Linked DNA regions of Drosophila melanogaster. Changing the gene in region 1 together with any one later gene gives a genetic interaction. Each region holds a gene or a part of one and is shown in the gene's direction. Other genes may lie near its edges.

Evidence for each region. Genes that interact genetically often act in the same process or in processes that back each other up.
Region 2: of HDAC6 (region 1) and Kat60, changing one suppresses a phenotype caused by changing the other (phenotypic suppression), as found in Drosophila melanogaster (one study listed by BioGRID).

What each region holds. Positions count from the first base shown.
Region 1 is NC_004354.4:15,332,705-15,340,511, forward strand, and holds HDAC6 (histone deacetylase 6), read left to right. Parts: upstream 1-1,773; 5' UTR 1,774-1,946; coding exon of another isoform or gene 1,947-1,970; 5' UTR 1,971-2,252; coding exon 2,253-2,564; exon of another isoform or gene 2,565-2,645; coding exon 2,646-2,776; exon of another isoform or gene 2,777-2,841; coding exon 2,842-3,025; exon of another isoform or gene 3,026-3,267; intron 3,268-3,585; coding exon 3,586-3,857; intron 3,858-3,910; coding exon 3,911-5,318; intron 5,319-5,367; coding exon 5,368-6,000; intron 6,001-6,132; coding exon 6,133-6,220; coding exon of another isoform or gene 6,221-6,270; exon of another isoform or gene 6,271-6,388; intron 6,389-6,922; coding exon 6,923-7,311; coding exon of another isoform or gene 7,312-7,464; 3' UTR 7,465-7,656; downstream 7,657-7,807. Other genes in the region: CG9114 (uncharacterized protein), read right to left, coding at 1-238.
Region 2 is NT_033777.3:5,226,789-5,233,991, reverse strand, and holds Kat60 (katanin 60), read left to right. Parts: upstream 1-1,782; 5' UTR 1,783-1,923; coding exon 1,924-1,935; intron 1,936-2,678; coding exon 2,679-2,999; intron 3,000-3,366; coding exon 3,367-3,970; intron 3,971-4,163; coding exon 4,164-4,285; intron 4,286-5,155; coding exon 5,156-5,715; intron 5,716-5,801; coding exon 5,802-6,000; 3' UTR 6,001-6,703; downstream 6,704-7,203. Other genes in the region: Mms19, read right to left, coding at 1-199, 258-607, 818-1,201, 1,266-1,350; Vps37B (vacuolar protein sorting 37B), read right to left, coding at 7,078-7,203.

The sequences.
Region 1 (7,807 bases):
GACAAACCGGTCCGTCGTAGGCCTCCAGTTGGGTGGCTATTTGCTTTAGTTTCGTGACCTTCAAATCGATGTAGTGCACCAGATCCTTGCGCCGGAATTCGTAGAACTTTAGGTTTCTCGCTAAAACCAATGTAGTGGGGTCATCCCGCGGTCGGCCCACGTGAAGATTGGCGCAGAAGGCCAACCGGGCCGGCTGGAGCAGCATCTCCGGCACATTCTCCTGGACAAACGGCAGCATGGATGCGGAAGCCACAAGATGGATGTGGCGCCCTTGACTCGAAAGCCCTTCGAATCGATAGCTATTGAATTCAAGTAGTAGTTATCGATGCGGTGAACGATATTAGGCTATTTTGAAATGGAAAAACCAATATTAATCGAGTTTCGAATGCTCCTTTTAGCGAGAGGTAAGTCTTTAACACCGCATAAACACAATCAGTGTTGCCTAACCAATCTGTGCCCTCCACTTTCTCTCATAATCAAGCAATTTCTCATAAAAAACGCACATCGATAAGCTGATAACGTTGGCCCTCGACTAACACCGATTATTCAACAAGTTGTGTCAATCGGCGGAGCAGCTGATCGTTGTAAGTAGCAAGAAGAAGACGCCACACAAACATTGCACTCCGCTCCGCCCGCGCGTTCTCATTTCCCATCTCTCTCACTCTGTCTCTCGCGCTCACCGTCTCTCTCTCTCGCTCCGCCTCGCAACCCCCACAGCGCTCCACAAACCGGGCCCCACATTCTTGTGTGTGATTTCTGGTTCAGGTTCTGATTTCCCGCGTGTCCTTGTGTGTGTGCGCGCTGCAGTGTCTGTGTATCTGTTACTGTTGCTGCATCTTCTGCATCAACTGCAACGTTACCAAAAATCAAAAGACAATCGCCTGCAAAAGCTTAATTTTGTTGCTCAGTGTTTTAAGTATTAGCTGTTTGCAAGCAGCACACACACGTAAGAAACAACAAGAACAACGATAAAAGACAACAACACAAATGCAGAGCATTTGAAGCGCAAACACACACAAGCATTCGGTGCGGCTGTAAGAGCGAGACACAAAATAAGGCTAATTTATAAAAGAAAAGTGTGCTGCAAGGAATCGATAAATAACGGGAGTCGAGGAGCGGAATAGGAGTAACCAATAAATATAAATACTGTAAATGCGATATTAAAAAGCGACAACAACAACAAAAAGCAGCTGTGAATCACTCCGTCCCGCTCCCCCGCGCTTTCAGTCACTCCAGTTGCTCCACTTCCATATATATTCGGATTTGGACTCCGATTCGGATACGGATTTCGCTTGGTTCGATTCTGTTTTCTTCGGATCGGTTTAGCTTTGCTTGCCAACTCGAAATCCCACAAACATGGTGAGTACTGGCAGATTATTGCCGCCGTTTTCGAGTTGTTTTGGCCAAAAGCGGCAGTGGCAACCAAACAGCAACACCCACACACCACACACACACGTACAGTGCAAGCTTCTTGGCCAGGTTTTGAGCTCCTCCATCGCCGCAGTTCCAATCCGAACTTCGTGGTAAACAGTTGTCCGCTGAAAACGCAGTGCAGCCTCCGCGTGAAGAACGCTCTGAATATACGGTTTCAAAGTCCTAAGAGGTTGTTTATATGAGTCTAAGTACAGCTACAAGATATATTTAAGCTATGCTTTTCGAAACTATCGTGTAGTTGTTCCAAATACAGTGAAACCTCAATGTTCGGTTTTTGAAGTTAAAAAGAAATATAAACATATATTTGAAGTTTACAAACTGTACAGTATTAATTTGAGCAATAAACCCAACAGTCCAGATTTGAAGTTTTTTTGACATGTTTCAAATTTTTAATATTCTAGCATAGTGTAACGTAAAACATGATTAAATGTTTAGCAACAGCAAAAAAACTACATTTTTGCAAATAGTAAACAAAATTTTAAGCAGTTAACCGAAAAAGTTACAGACCATAGATGTTACGCGATATTTGGATACAGGTTTTAATCCAGATTAGTTGCAATCCAGATTCCTAAAGTCCTATGTCAATCGCCGTAATCTTCGATTGAAAAAGGCCGAGAGTTGCTTTTTTATGTGGTAACATTGGTAAAATCTTTCATGCCATTCCACATATGGTTGTTTGGAAAGGGTTAGGTAACTGGATTCTTGAGCACTTGTCTCACCCCAGTGGGCAATCAAATTCGCCTGTGGGAGCAGCACTGGCGATCCATCTGTGCATGAATCCCCGCCAGAAGCTGCGTTGTGTGTCTACCTAGCGGGAAATGCTTACTAAAGATTTAAATTCGTTTTCGCAGAGCCCGCCCATCGTCACGCGACGGAGTGCGCAGCAGGCAAAGATTCAGACACGGGCAATGGCCAGTAAATCGAAGACGGGCACGACAGGGGCGGCGACGGCGGCCGGCGGCACCGGCAGCAGCAGCGGCAGTATCAGCGGCGGATTTAATGCCGCCGATCCGCGAAAGTCGAACAAACCGAACGCAGCGCTCTTGGAGGCGAAACGTCGAGCTCGGAACAACATGCTCAAGAATCAGGGCTGCGGATCGCAGGAGAGCGTCACGGATATATTCCAGAATGTGAGTGCTATCTGACTGACCTCTATCCTCTGTCCTTGTGCAATCCTAACCAAGTGATATTTAATCGTCGCCGACGAAAAGGCTGTCAACAGCAAGAGTCTGGTGCGGAAACCAACGGCACTGATCTACGATGAGTCCATGAGCCAGCACTGTTGCCTGTGGGACAAGGAGCACTACGAGTGTCCCGAGCGCTTCACACGAGTCCTGGAACGGTGAGTATATTTGAAGAAAACGGTACAAATTAAGCTGATATGTATTCCCTAATCTCCTCATCCAGCTGTCGCGAACTAAATCTGACGGAGCGCTGCCTGGAGTTGCCCTCGAGATCGGCGACCAAGGATGAAATTCTGCGCCTGCACACAGAGGAGCACTTCGAGCGGCTGAAGGAGACGTCCGGGATTCGCGATGACGAGCGCATGGAGGAGCTGAGCTCCCGCTACGATTCAATTTACATTCATCCGGTGAGCAAGCGCATCCAACGGGGAACATGGAACAGTGCATCCCAGTGCCTGGCTCCAAATTAGCTCATTTTATTGTATTTGCACTTGATTGCTTGCGGAGATTGCGTTGTTTTTAATTCGACGGCTTGATAAATGCAAATTGGAGCAGATTAGATTAGATGCGACCCATTGCACAGGTACAGTGCGGTGCATAAATGTAAATGGTTGAGTGACTGGCATAAATTATGCAAATGATTATACCTCCGAACTTAAAATGCATTTATTCCCCGATTGTAATTCTAATATGTCTATTCTTGTTGTGATATTCATTATCTTTATATTGCGTGCAATCTTTATTTAGTTTGCTCAAACTTTAGTTATTAATTATTACGACTGCCCGCAGCTTTTATTACTTTATATTTCATTAGCTAAATCCTCCAGCAATCTGAAGCGCACTGTAAATTCGTTAAAATGGGCTGGTACTCATACTATTACATCCTAGATAAGATTCCCGCTGTTTTACTAGCACCGAACTTGTTATATATAGAACACTGATAACCTTATCCGCCTCCCACCCGCAGTCCACATTCGAGCTCTCCCTGCTGGCCAGCGGCTCCACCATCGAATTGGTGGACCATCTGGTCGCCGGAAAGGCGCAGAATGGCATGGCCATCATCCGGCCACCGGGTCACCATGCGATGAAGGCCGAGTACAACGGTTATTGCTTCTTCAACAACGTGGCACTGGCCACCCAGCACGCCCTCGATGTTCACAAGCTGCAGCGCATCCTGATCATCGACTACGATGTGCATCATGGGCAGGGAACCCAGCGGTTCTTCTACAACGATCCCAGGTAAAGTTGGCAATATATGTTTAGTATTCTCATTCATCGTGTGTGTGTTTCAGGGTGGTTTACTTCTCCATCCATCGCTTCGAGCACGGAAGCTTCTGGCCGCATCTGCACGAGTCGGATTACCACGCCATTGGATCGGGAGCGGGCACGGGATACAACTTCAATGTGCCGTTGAATGCGACGGGTATGACCAATGGCGATTACCTGGCCATTTTCCAGCAGCTGCTGCTGCCGGTGGCCCTGGAATTCCAGCCGGAGCTGATCATCGTTTCGGCTGGCTATGATGCGGCGCTGGGCTGTCCGGAGGGTGAGATGGAGGTGACGCCGGCCTGCTATCCGCACCTGCTGAATCCGCTGCTGCGACTGGCCGATGCCCGGGTGGCCGTCGTTCTGGAGGGCGGCTACTGCCTGGACTCGCTGGCCGAGGGTGCGGCCCTAACCCTGCGCTCCCTGCTCGGCGATCCTTGTCCGCCGCTGGTGGAGACAGTGCCACTGCCGCGTGCGGAACTCGCCCAGGCCCTGCTCAGCTGCATTGCCGTGCACCGACCCCACTGGCGATGTCTGCAGCTCCAGCAGACCTACGATTGCGTCGAATTGCAGGATCGGGATAAGGAAGAGGATCTGCACACGGTACTGCGCCATTGGATTGGTGGACCACCGCCTATGGATCGTTACCCTACGCGCGATACGGCCATTCCGCTGCCGCCGGAAAAGCTGACCAGCAATGCCGCTCGTCTGCAGGTGCTGCGCGCGGAGACGAAGCTATCGGTGCCGTCGTTTAAGGTGTGTTATGCCTACGATGCCCAAATGCTTCTGCACTGCAATCTCAATGATACGGGGCATCCGGAGCAGCCGTCGCGCATCCAGCACATCCACAAGATGCACGACGACTACGGTCTGCTGAAGCAGATGAAGCAACTGTCCCCCAGGGCGGCCACCACAGACGAGGTGTGCCTGGCCCACACTCGCGCCCATGTGAATACAGTGCGTCGATTGCTGGGCCGCGAGCCGAAGGAACTGCATGACGCTGCTGGGATCTACAACTCGGTGTATCTGCATCCGCGCACCTTCGATTGCGCCACCCTGGCCGCCGGTTTAGTGCTGCAGGCGGTGGACAGTGTGCTGCGTGGCGAGTCCCGCAGCGGCATCTGCAACGTCCGTCCGCCGGGCCATCATGCCGAGCAGGATCATCCGCACGGCTTCTGCATTTTCAACAATGTGGCCATTGCGGCGCAGTATGCCATTCGGGATTTCGGTCTGGAGCGTGTGCTGATCGTCGACTGGGACGTCCATCACGGCAATGGGACGCAGCACATTTTCGAGTCCAATCCCAAGGTGCTCTACATCAGCTTACATCGCTACGAGCACGGCTCCTTCTTCCCGAAGGGACCCGATGGCAATTTCGATGTGGTGGGCAAGGGAGCCGGCAGGGGCTTCAATGTGAACATACCCTGGAACAAGGTGGGTTTTTGCACACTTACGGGCCCAACTCATTCCACTCACTTTGCAGAAGGGCATGGGTGACCTGGAGTACGCACTGGCCTTCCAGCAGCTGATCATGCCCATTGCGTACGAGTTCAATCCGCAGCTGGTGTTGGTATCCGCCGGATTCGATGCTGCCATCGGCGATCCCTTGGGCGGATGCAAGGTGACGGCCGAGGGCTACGGCATGCTCACCCACTGGCTGTCGGCTTTGGCCAGCGGCCGGATAATCGTTTGCCTGGAAGGTGGCTACAATGTGAACTCCATTTCGTACGCGATGACCATGTGCACCAAGACGCTGCTGGGTGATCCCGTGCCGACGCCCCAGCTGGGAGCCACGGCGCTGCAGAAGCCACCAACGGTGGCCTTCCAGAGCTGTGTGGAATCGCTGCAGCAGTGCCTGCAGGTGCAGCGCAACCACTGGCGCTCGCTGGAGTTCGTCGGACGGCGGCTGCCGCGGGATCCCGTTGTGGGCGAGAACAACAACGAGGATTTTCTTACCGCCTCCTTGCGACACTTGAATATCTCAAATGACGATGCTACGGCTGCGGCGGGCGGACTCGCCGGCGATCGTCCCGACTGCGGCGATGAGCGGCCCAGCGGGAGCAAGCCCAAAGTCAAGGTAAAAACGCTCAGCGACTACTTGGCGGAGAACAAGGAGGTACGAGGACAGCACTGCGCTTATCCCTCAGCTGGCAACTAATCGCTTCTTTTCGTGCCTTTCTTCATCTCGATCCCATGCCCTGCAATCTCTGCCCCTCGATCCCGTTCCCGATCCCCATTCGCGTGTCAGGCCCTCGAGCAGAGTGAGATGTTCGCCGTGTATCCGCTCAAGACGTGTCCGCACTTGAGGCTCCTACGTCCGGAGGAGGCGCCCCGATGTAAGCCAATGCAGTCCGGAGAAGATTCCCTCCCCTTTTGGTCAAGATAATAGCACTTCTTAAGTGTGAACAAGTTGTCAAGAAAAATTCAGTTATTGAATCTCTTTGTATCTTTGTATTTGTATGCTGTGACCCATAAAAATAATTGGAAAAATGGTTTTATGACTCAAGTTAAGTCTTCAATAACGTATTTAACATTTTATATAAATGGGGAAGTTGTTTGAAATGCATATAGTGAAATACCCTATAAATCTGAAAAAATCGGGAAATACTTTACAGGAAGTGCTATTATTTTGACCAATTTTAAGGACTCTTCTTTCTTATAATGTTCATCGTTTTCTTTGCTTTTTGTGCTTAAAATTAGCAATTGGCTATTTTTCTAAATTACTTATAACTGCTTAATGGTTTATGTGCATATGGCATGCAATCTTTTTGTGCTTGGCGGCTGTTTTTTCTTTCAGTATCCTTGCGTTTATTGCATTTTTTGAAAAGGTTTTTTGCTTCAATCCTTACGTTTTAGCAATGTAACTTTGGGTTTTAACCAAAAATCTGCCGTGTGATTTGCTTTTATCTAACTTTATCTTAGTTTAAAACTTTAGAACATTTGATATATCGCCTGCATGTGAACAGCTTCTTGAGCTATACGCTACTCAATCCTGACACAACTAACATACTTTCTCAACGATTTCCCATCCAAATCAGCACTAGACAGCGGAGCGGAGTGCAGCGTTTGCGGATCGACGGGGGAGAACTGGGTGTGCCTGAGCTGCAGGCATGTGGCCTGCGGTCGCTATGTGAACGCCCACATGGAGCAGCATTCAGTGGAGGAGCAGCATCCGCTGGCGATGAGCACGGCTGACCTGTCTGTGTGGTGCTACGCGTGCTCCGCGTACGTGGACCATCCCCGCCTGTATGCCTACCTCAATCCGCTGCACGAGGACAAGTTCCAGGAACCGATGGCCTGGACACATGGGTGTGCGTGGCGCGAGGATGGCTGCTATGCGACGGGGCCCGATGGGCGAGATGAGGATGACGATGATGATAATGGCGCCGGTAGCAGCATTTGCCTGCGACTGGAGCGCAACAACTGACCCTTAGCCATCCGCGTGCTGGACGCCCTCACGGACTACTTGTGCGCGCTCTGCCCGCCACTAAGGCACCTAATCCATTTCCTGGCCGAGCACCTCTGGCCGCTGCTGGAGCGCATTTACCTTAACCTGTTGCACTACTTCCTGGCCCACTGAGCACCCCATATCCAATCCTCTAGCCCGCACCCACAACTGATCTGAAAACTGCTGCAACTGGCAGCCGGTCGGTCATCCCCTGGAGATCCTGGCACCAGTCACCATACCATTTATACAAATGCAAATTGTTAAAGTTATCAACTAATGATCTAATAAATAATTCAAGTGTTTTTTGAGTTTATTTTCGAATACAGTTTCTAGTTTCGTTAATGAGATCGAACTTCTTAAGTTCAGAGGTATTTATTCATAATTCTGTTCATCCCAGCCAAATCGACAGTTCATCCACGGTTTTATTTAATCTATATTTCTAGATTAACTCAATATTTGTTGAGTCATAACGTTG
Region 2 (7,203 bases), on another chromosome or scaffold:
CCAGAATAGAGCTCTGGTAGCTGTGGCTTATATCCGGTATGTGAGCAGCTCTCTCCAGGAGCGCAGACAACGCCTTAAGGGAAGCTTTCAGTATCTCCTCATTGTCATTTCCTGGAAAAGTCTCTGTTTTCAGAGCCTGCCATATCTGATCGAAGTGCGGCTCCAGAACGGAAGGCGGGAACTTCACGGCAGCTTGGTGCTGTAACAATAAATAGCATGTATAAAAAGAGGCATTTCAAAATGTTACGTTTTCTTGCCAGCAGTTCTATGGAGTCCAGTTTGGCAACCAGCAACTCACTCTCCAGCTTTTCTATGGCCAGTACCACTGTGCCCTCAGCGAATTCGTTGTTGGCTACCAGGCAGTTAGTCAACTTCTTGGACAATTCATCACGGGTTATGGCCGCTGGATCCTGCTTGCTGGGATTAAAGTCGATTGGAAAGTAACACGCAAAGATCTCAAACATCTCTTCGGCCAAATGCAGCAGCGGATACGTTGACAAGAACTCGGGCATGAAGCTGAAAATGATGTCAAGGTTGCGGGGGTCACGCTCGCCGTCAATGGAATTGATCAGGCCGTAGACGAAGTCACCGGCCATCGCTTGCAGCTCTGTATCGGGAAGAAAATTGATTTGTTTGAGTTGTAATATTGTGTAATATTTTCTAAAAATAACGGAAATAAAAGGTACTAAGATTGTCGCAAATATCTGTTCGACTAGTTAAAATCATCTAATTATAACTTTTTTGCACACTGACTTGTTTAAATCGGATTAAAGCAATGTCAATGTATCTTTCATGCTAAAATGAAATCAGGGCTCACCGTCCTGGAAGTTTTCCGTCAAGTACTGGAAAATGTGGAACAGCTTGGTGCGGTCGCTCCGCGTCTGCGACTGGCAGGTGGTGTGCTCGAAGAATGACTGCAGAATCTGGGGAATCTGGGCGCGCGGTAGAGCTTTCATGTGAACCAGGGCGTCGATTCCATCGATAATGGCTGGCATTACGTTGTGATGGTCGCGCAGGCGGTCCATGTAAAAGGTGCTGAGGAACTCCAGCTGCCGCTCTTGCAGCAGATCCTGGGGCAGTGCTATCAACACGGCGGAGAGCAAGTTGGTTCCGGCCACACGCTCCTCCATGTCCGGAGAGGACAGGGCGAAGCCCAGTGCCTCGGCCAGAGCAGATATGTCATATGCCTTGGCGGTCAGATCTGGAGGAAACAAAGAATCTCTATGAGAAGGGCACATTCGACACGGATGCGGGTGTAAACCTGCCCTTGGCTATCTGTGTGGCGGAATTCACAAGCTTCTGGTCGCTTTTCAGAGCCTTTTCCAGGGTGGCGCGCGTGGGCGTTGTCATTGCGGCACCGTCGCTTGAGTGGTGTCTAAATTTAAATGAGTTTAAGCACGTTAAGCCGAAATGTTAAGAACCGATAACCGATGACTTGTCGTACTGGCCTTATCTATATCACAGCGATGCCAGACTGGTGTTACAGTAGTGCAAATGTTTTAGCGATTAATATAGCTTTTATTGCAGTGGCGCTCAGGGATGGTAATGTGTGGCTCGGAGACAAATTCTAGAACTGGAAAATATACTTACATATTGTATATTGATTTATAATCGATAGACACGATACGGAGATTTTCTTTTTATTTTCTTGTAATTCGTTGTAAATTTAGAAATATATTTTTAGCAGCTCTGGAAACAATCGATAGTCGCCGACTGTTGCACACAGGGAACGCAACAGGGTGGTCAAGTGTCCGCGCCGATGTATCGATAAGCCCCGCATCACCAGAGCACGCACATCACTAGTATTACAAACACAGGCAGGCAGCAGTTTATTTTAGCTACCGCAGCACCTTAAACTCTGAATTAAATAGTTTACGCATTCATTTTGCGCTCGGAACGCCGCGTAACAAAGCTAGTACACTAATGTCCATAACCGTAAGTCGCCCGCGAACTGCTCAGCTGCAATTGTAGGTGTGCGGCGGCGAGACGTCAGCGCTGCTGTTGTTGTTGCTCTTGTGGTTGCTGCAGCTGCAGACGCCCCCACATAGCTGGAAATAAAATAAGAAGCATAAGAATAAGAAATACGGTGAAGTGTCGAATGCAAAGTGCAGTTTGCTGTGTCCAGAGGCTTGCAATTAACTCAAATTCTATTTAGATCGCATTAATTCGACCCATTGTGCGCCCGTGTGCGTGTGTGCGAAAGTGTGTGTTGTGTGCCGCTGAAACCTGAGCTGAGTGTGCGTGTGTGTGTGCGAGCGTTAATTTTGTTGTTTTTACTATTGTGTTTTTTGTTTTTTTTTTTTTTTTTGCATACGACGATTTGAGTCGAGTTGAAAGAATCATTCAAAGCCAACAAGGTCGAACGCCTTATTCGGCTCATAACTACCTAATACATTTTCCAATCGGCATTTGGCCCACGTCCCGCCTTGGAGGCGGAATTGAAAATCGGAGCGCGTTGCGTTTAAATTTGGTGACAAGTCGGCGGCTGTGCGCCTGATAATTTATAATTAGCAGCTCACTTGGGTCGTTGCCACTGGCATCTTCTATTATTCGCAATTGTCGCCGGGTTTTCCACTTTATTCGCTTCTGGCTGGGAGGCGCACTTTCCATTTTTACCTGCAAGGCGAGCCAGCGAATGACGAAGTCGCTTCCGTTCTATTGTTCCCCTTCCCACCCAGCAACACTTGGAGAAACTCACGCACTCGAGCGCTTTAATTGGAACTAATCTCTGTCTCTCGTTTTTGGCTACAATGACGACAACCTGTTCCGATCGCCAGTTACTGCGAGGTGGCAAGCAAAAGACAACCACTTGCGTAGGAATGACCGTAATGGCCAAGACTACGTTTGAAGAAATATGCGAGAATGCCAAATTAGCACGGGACATGGCTCTGACGGGCAACTACGACTCAGCCTGCATCTACTATGAGGGCCTCCAGGGGCTGCTCGCCCGCCAGCTGAAGGCCACCGCGGATCCGCTACGCAAGGGCAAGTGGAGCATGGTAAGACATTCCTATCACCACCTCCAGATACTGTCAACTACCATGCCAATGAATGCGAATGGTGACGGTTATGACAAACAAAGGACTTAGTCATAACATCTTGTCAACGCCATTCAAAATTGCCCAAGAGGTTTTGTGTAAACGAGTTATCTAGATCGTTAACGTGCATATAAAGATTTAATTTAATCAGAACACTACCGAATGACTAAAATTTGAATTACAAAGTAATTTCTAGCACTACTGGCACAAAGTAACTGGCTAAAACTCCAATAGATCATAATAAACCAAGTATTTTCAAAAAGTTTAATATTTACCATACCGGACGATTTCATTGACATCATTTAACTAACTGATCTTCGATTTGCAGATCAACCAGCAGATTAGCCAGGAGCACGCCAAAATCAAGGCCATTCAGAGAACCCTACAAGACATCTCGCTGGACCTACAGTCAACCAAATTTGCACACAAGCTGCGACACCAGCTCAGCGAAGAAAGCACCACCAGTAAAGATCCATCTGCCTGGTTCAAGCCGGACCCCGACATTTGGACGCCTCCGCCCAAGGATCCAGATGTGTGGGGTCCGCCGAAGCCACCACCCACCACTCAGGCCGTTGGCCGAAGAGCCGCACCGAACAACCGCCGCACCACTCCGGCAACGCAAAACAGCCGCCCCAGCAGCACAATCCCGCAGAGCACTGCCCGGAATGGTCCGGCCTCGACACGCAATTCCCGCAACTCAACGTCCGCCACAGCACCGAGCGGCGGAGCACGCACCACCAATGGAAGGGCTGGCGGTCGCAAGCTATCCACATCGAACACCAACGAGGCTAGGGACGACGACTCCACCGCTGCAGGCAACAATGGCGGAGCGGCTGGCGATGGAGAAAACGGCGATCCGCAGGCCGCCCAAGAGGAAGAGCGCAAGTTTCAGCCCAACAACCACATCGAAGCCGAGCTAGTCGACATTCTTGGTAGGTGCCTAAATCGTTGCCGCAAGGTTTGCCTCGTTCAAAATTTGGTGATGTGCTAGTCTTATTTATTAAGCAAAGCTAATGCATTACTCTACTTGCTTTAAGATTTGTGGCTATTTCAAAAATGGTAGTAGTTATGAAAATTTGGGTCTAGTATAGCTACATTTATTACATGCCAACGCTCTCTTTTCAGAACGTGATATTCTTCAAAAGGATCCCAAAGTGCGCTGGAGCGACATTGCCGACCTGCACGACGCCAAGCGGTTGCTGGAGGAGGCCGTCGTGCTGCCAATGCTCATGCCGGACTACTTCAAGGTGCGTCACCCCCGCTGTTTGTTTTCTGTGAATCACATTCTGCCAAACGCTTATCTCGCGATGGGTCAACAAACGCGCTTTATTATAGTGCTCAGGGCAATGTGTATTTGATCAACTATTCTGAACTGTCACGAAATGCATCGCCTTGCAGCTTTATCCCTCTTAACTAGGTGGTGGAACTTGTCAACACATTCTACTTTTACTTGGGGCGGTTTAAAAGTTTCCATTGTTGAAATTATGCTGATTATGATGTACCTCTATCTATGTTATCTTATCAAACTATGTGTGCGTTCAAAAGAATATCGATCCATAATAACCTGTCGAAAAAAAATAAATAATTATGTATATATTATGTATATATATGGAATGCTGACCATGTGTTTCTAACGCCTTTAAGTCACATTAAAAATCACTGATCCAAACACCTGAGACTGAGCTCGATTGCTATGTTGACCGTGTTGTACCATATATGTAAGAATATTTGTTGTTTTCAAATATTTCCGTCCAACAAATATTTTCCCCATCTAAAATGTGGATACCATGAAATTTTGCGTGGGCGAAAGATGTTTGAAATGGGCATCAGAGAAGCCTACAGCACCATTTTTCGATTTACCATCTTACTGAATAAACAATAGCAAGAAAGATAGACTTAACGTGGATAGTAGATAATTAGATATTTATGTTTGATTGGAAGAAATGGTACTCACTTCTCCAATGTAGATTATTTAATTAATTAGAATTAGGCAAATGACACAGCCTAAAACAGTGGTTCAGATCAAAACAATCGGAAAGTATACAATTAATATATACTGAAAGTTTGTAAACATTTTAAAGCAAAAGTACATAATCACTTCTTGCTTTCTACAACAGGGTATCCGGCGACCGTGGAAGGGCGTGTTAATGGTGGGACCTCCAGGCACGGGCAAGACAATGCTCGCCAAGGCGGTGGCAACCGAATGCGGAACTACGTTCTTCAACGTGAGCTCGGCCACGCTGACGTCCAAGTACCGAGGTGAGTCGGAAAAGATGGTGCGGCTCCTGTTCGAGATGGCCAGGTTCTACGCGCCCAGCACAATTTTCATCGACGAGATCGACTCCCTGTGCTCGCGCCGAGGATCGGAATCAGAGCACGAGGCCTCGCGACGAGTGAAGTCTGAGCTGCTGGTCCAAATGGACGGCGTGGGCGGCGGAGAGGAACAGGCCAAGGTGGTCATGGTGCTGGCCGCCACCAACTTTCCTTGGGACATCGATGAAGCGCTTCGGCGTCGTTTGGAAAAACGCATTTACATCCCACTGCCATCGGATGAAGGTCGCGAGGCGCTGCTCAAGATCAATCTCCGCGAGGTCAAGGTGGACGATAGCGTCGATCTTACCTACGTAGCCAACGAGCTGAAGGGATATTCCGGAGCTGACATCACAAACGTGTGCAGGTGAGTTCAGAATACACTAATTTAAAATGGCGTAGTCAGTTCCAAATCATGTCAATGGAATAAAATGCGTGCTCTTCTTTTTCCAGGGAGGCCAGCATGATGTCGATGCGGAGAAAGATCGCAGGACTGACCCCAGAGCAGATTCGGCAGTTGGCTACGGAAGAGGTGGATTTGCCCGTTTCCAACAAGGATTTCAACGAGGCCATGAGTCGCTGCAACAAGAGCGTGTCCCGGGCAGACCTGGACAAGTACGAGAAGTGGATGAGGGAGTTCGGATCGTCATGATGGCGCTGCAGACGCGAATGGCTAGCGATTGTAGGAGTATATTTTTGAATAGCCTTAAACACGCGCTTAAGTCATTAAGCTTTTAAAGTGAGAACCGAACCGATCCGAGCCGAACGGAAGAGTTGAACATATTTTATATATAACATTTTGCAAATACGATACAATCTATATATTTACATATATACATTGAACCGGAGGCCGTTGGAATTAGAAAAGACTAACCGCTCTCAAAGAGGAAACACAAATGGAAAACTGAAATTGAAATTGAATTGCAATGAAGTCGAGAGATAGGCAATACGTTTATGTATACATAGCGAAAACCACCCACACACTCCATGAGCACAAACCTTCCAACAAATCGTTAACCCACAATCACACTATATGCAATAAGGAATCGCTTTAATCGCCGCCTAGCCTTGGCCTCATACTCCCACAATATGCACACTCCAATCCGTATCATTTTTTATCGAAAGTTTTTATTTTAACAAGAAATGTCCACTGTCTAATATTAATGTTAATTTTCGCTTAATTTATACTTTCACATATACATATATATCATAGTTTAGTGCAGGCAGAGATGTGTGTACCAGAAAGTTCCCTCTGATTTGCAATTAACCCACTGTAATCAGAAGATGAAACTGAAGCAATATGTACTTAAAGAGAGGATTCTGAAATTTTAAACAATAAAGAAGTTTTTAACTTTACGGCATTAAGAGTTGTGACTTTTTTGGGTGCTTTCTGCAAGGATAAATAAGGATAAAGGTCTTGCAAATGATGCTGATGATGTTATGATTTGATTATTATTACAATTAAATCACTGTTACGAAAATGCTGTGATCCCCAAAGAGAATTTATATCTAGATACTAAGCGGATGTTGCATTTGTATGACACAGCGGTAATTAATCTTTTCTAGAAATCAAGAGTCAGGGAAAAGCACTTTATTATGAAATCCAAGAACGTTTATCTGATGAAAGCACCCTTCGTTCACCGCTTACCAAATGTACAAACTTGCCTGCTGCAGACTGATGCGCCATGGCAGTTAATTCGCTGAGGACCAAGGACCAAGGACCAAGACCTCAGTACGGTCTGGATGGCGGTGGCATGGGCATCAGGGGACCCATGATTGGGTAAGGGGCGGAGCCCCCAGACGCGGGATAGAATCCGCTGGAGGGCACGTTTCCGTAGGCTGGCAGAGAAGTATT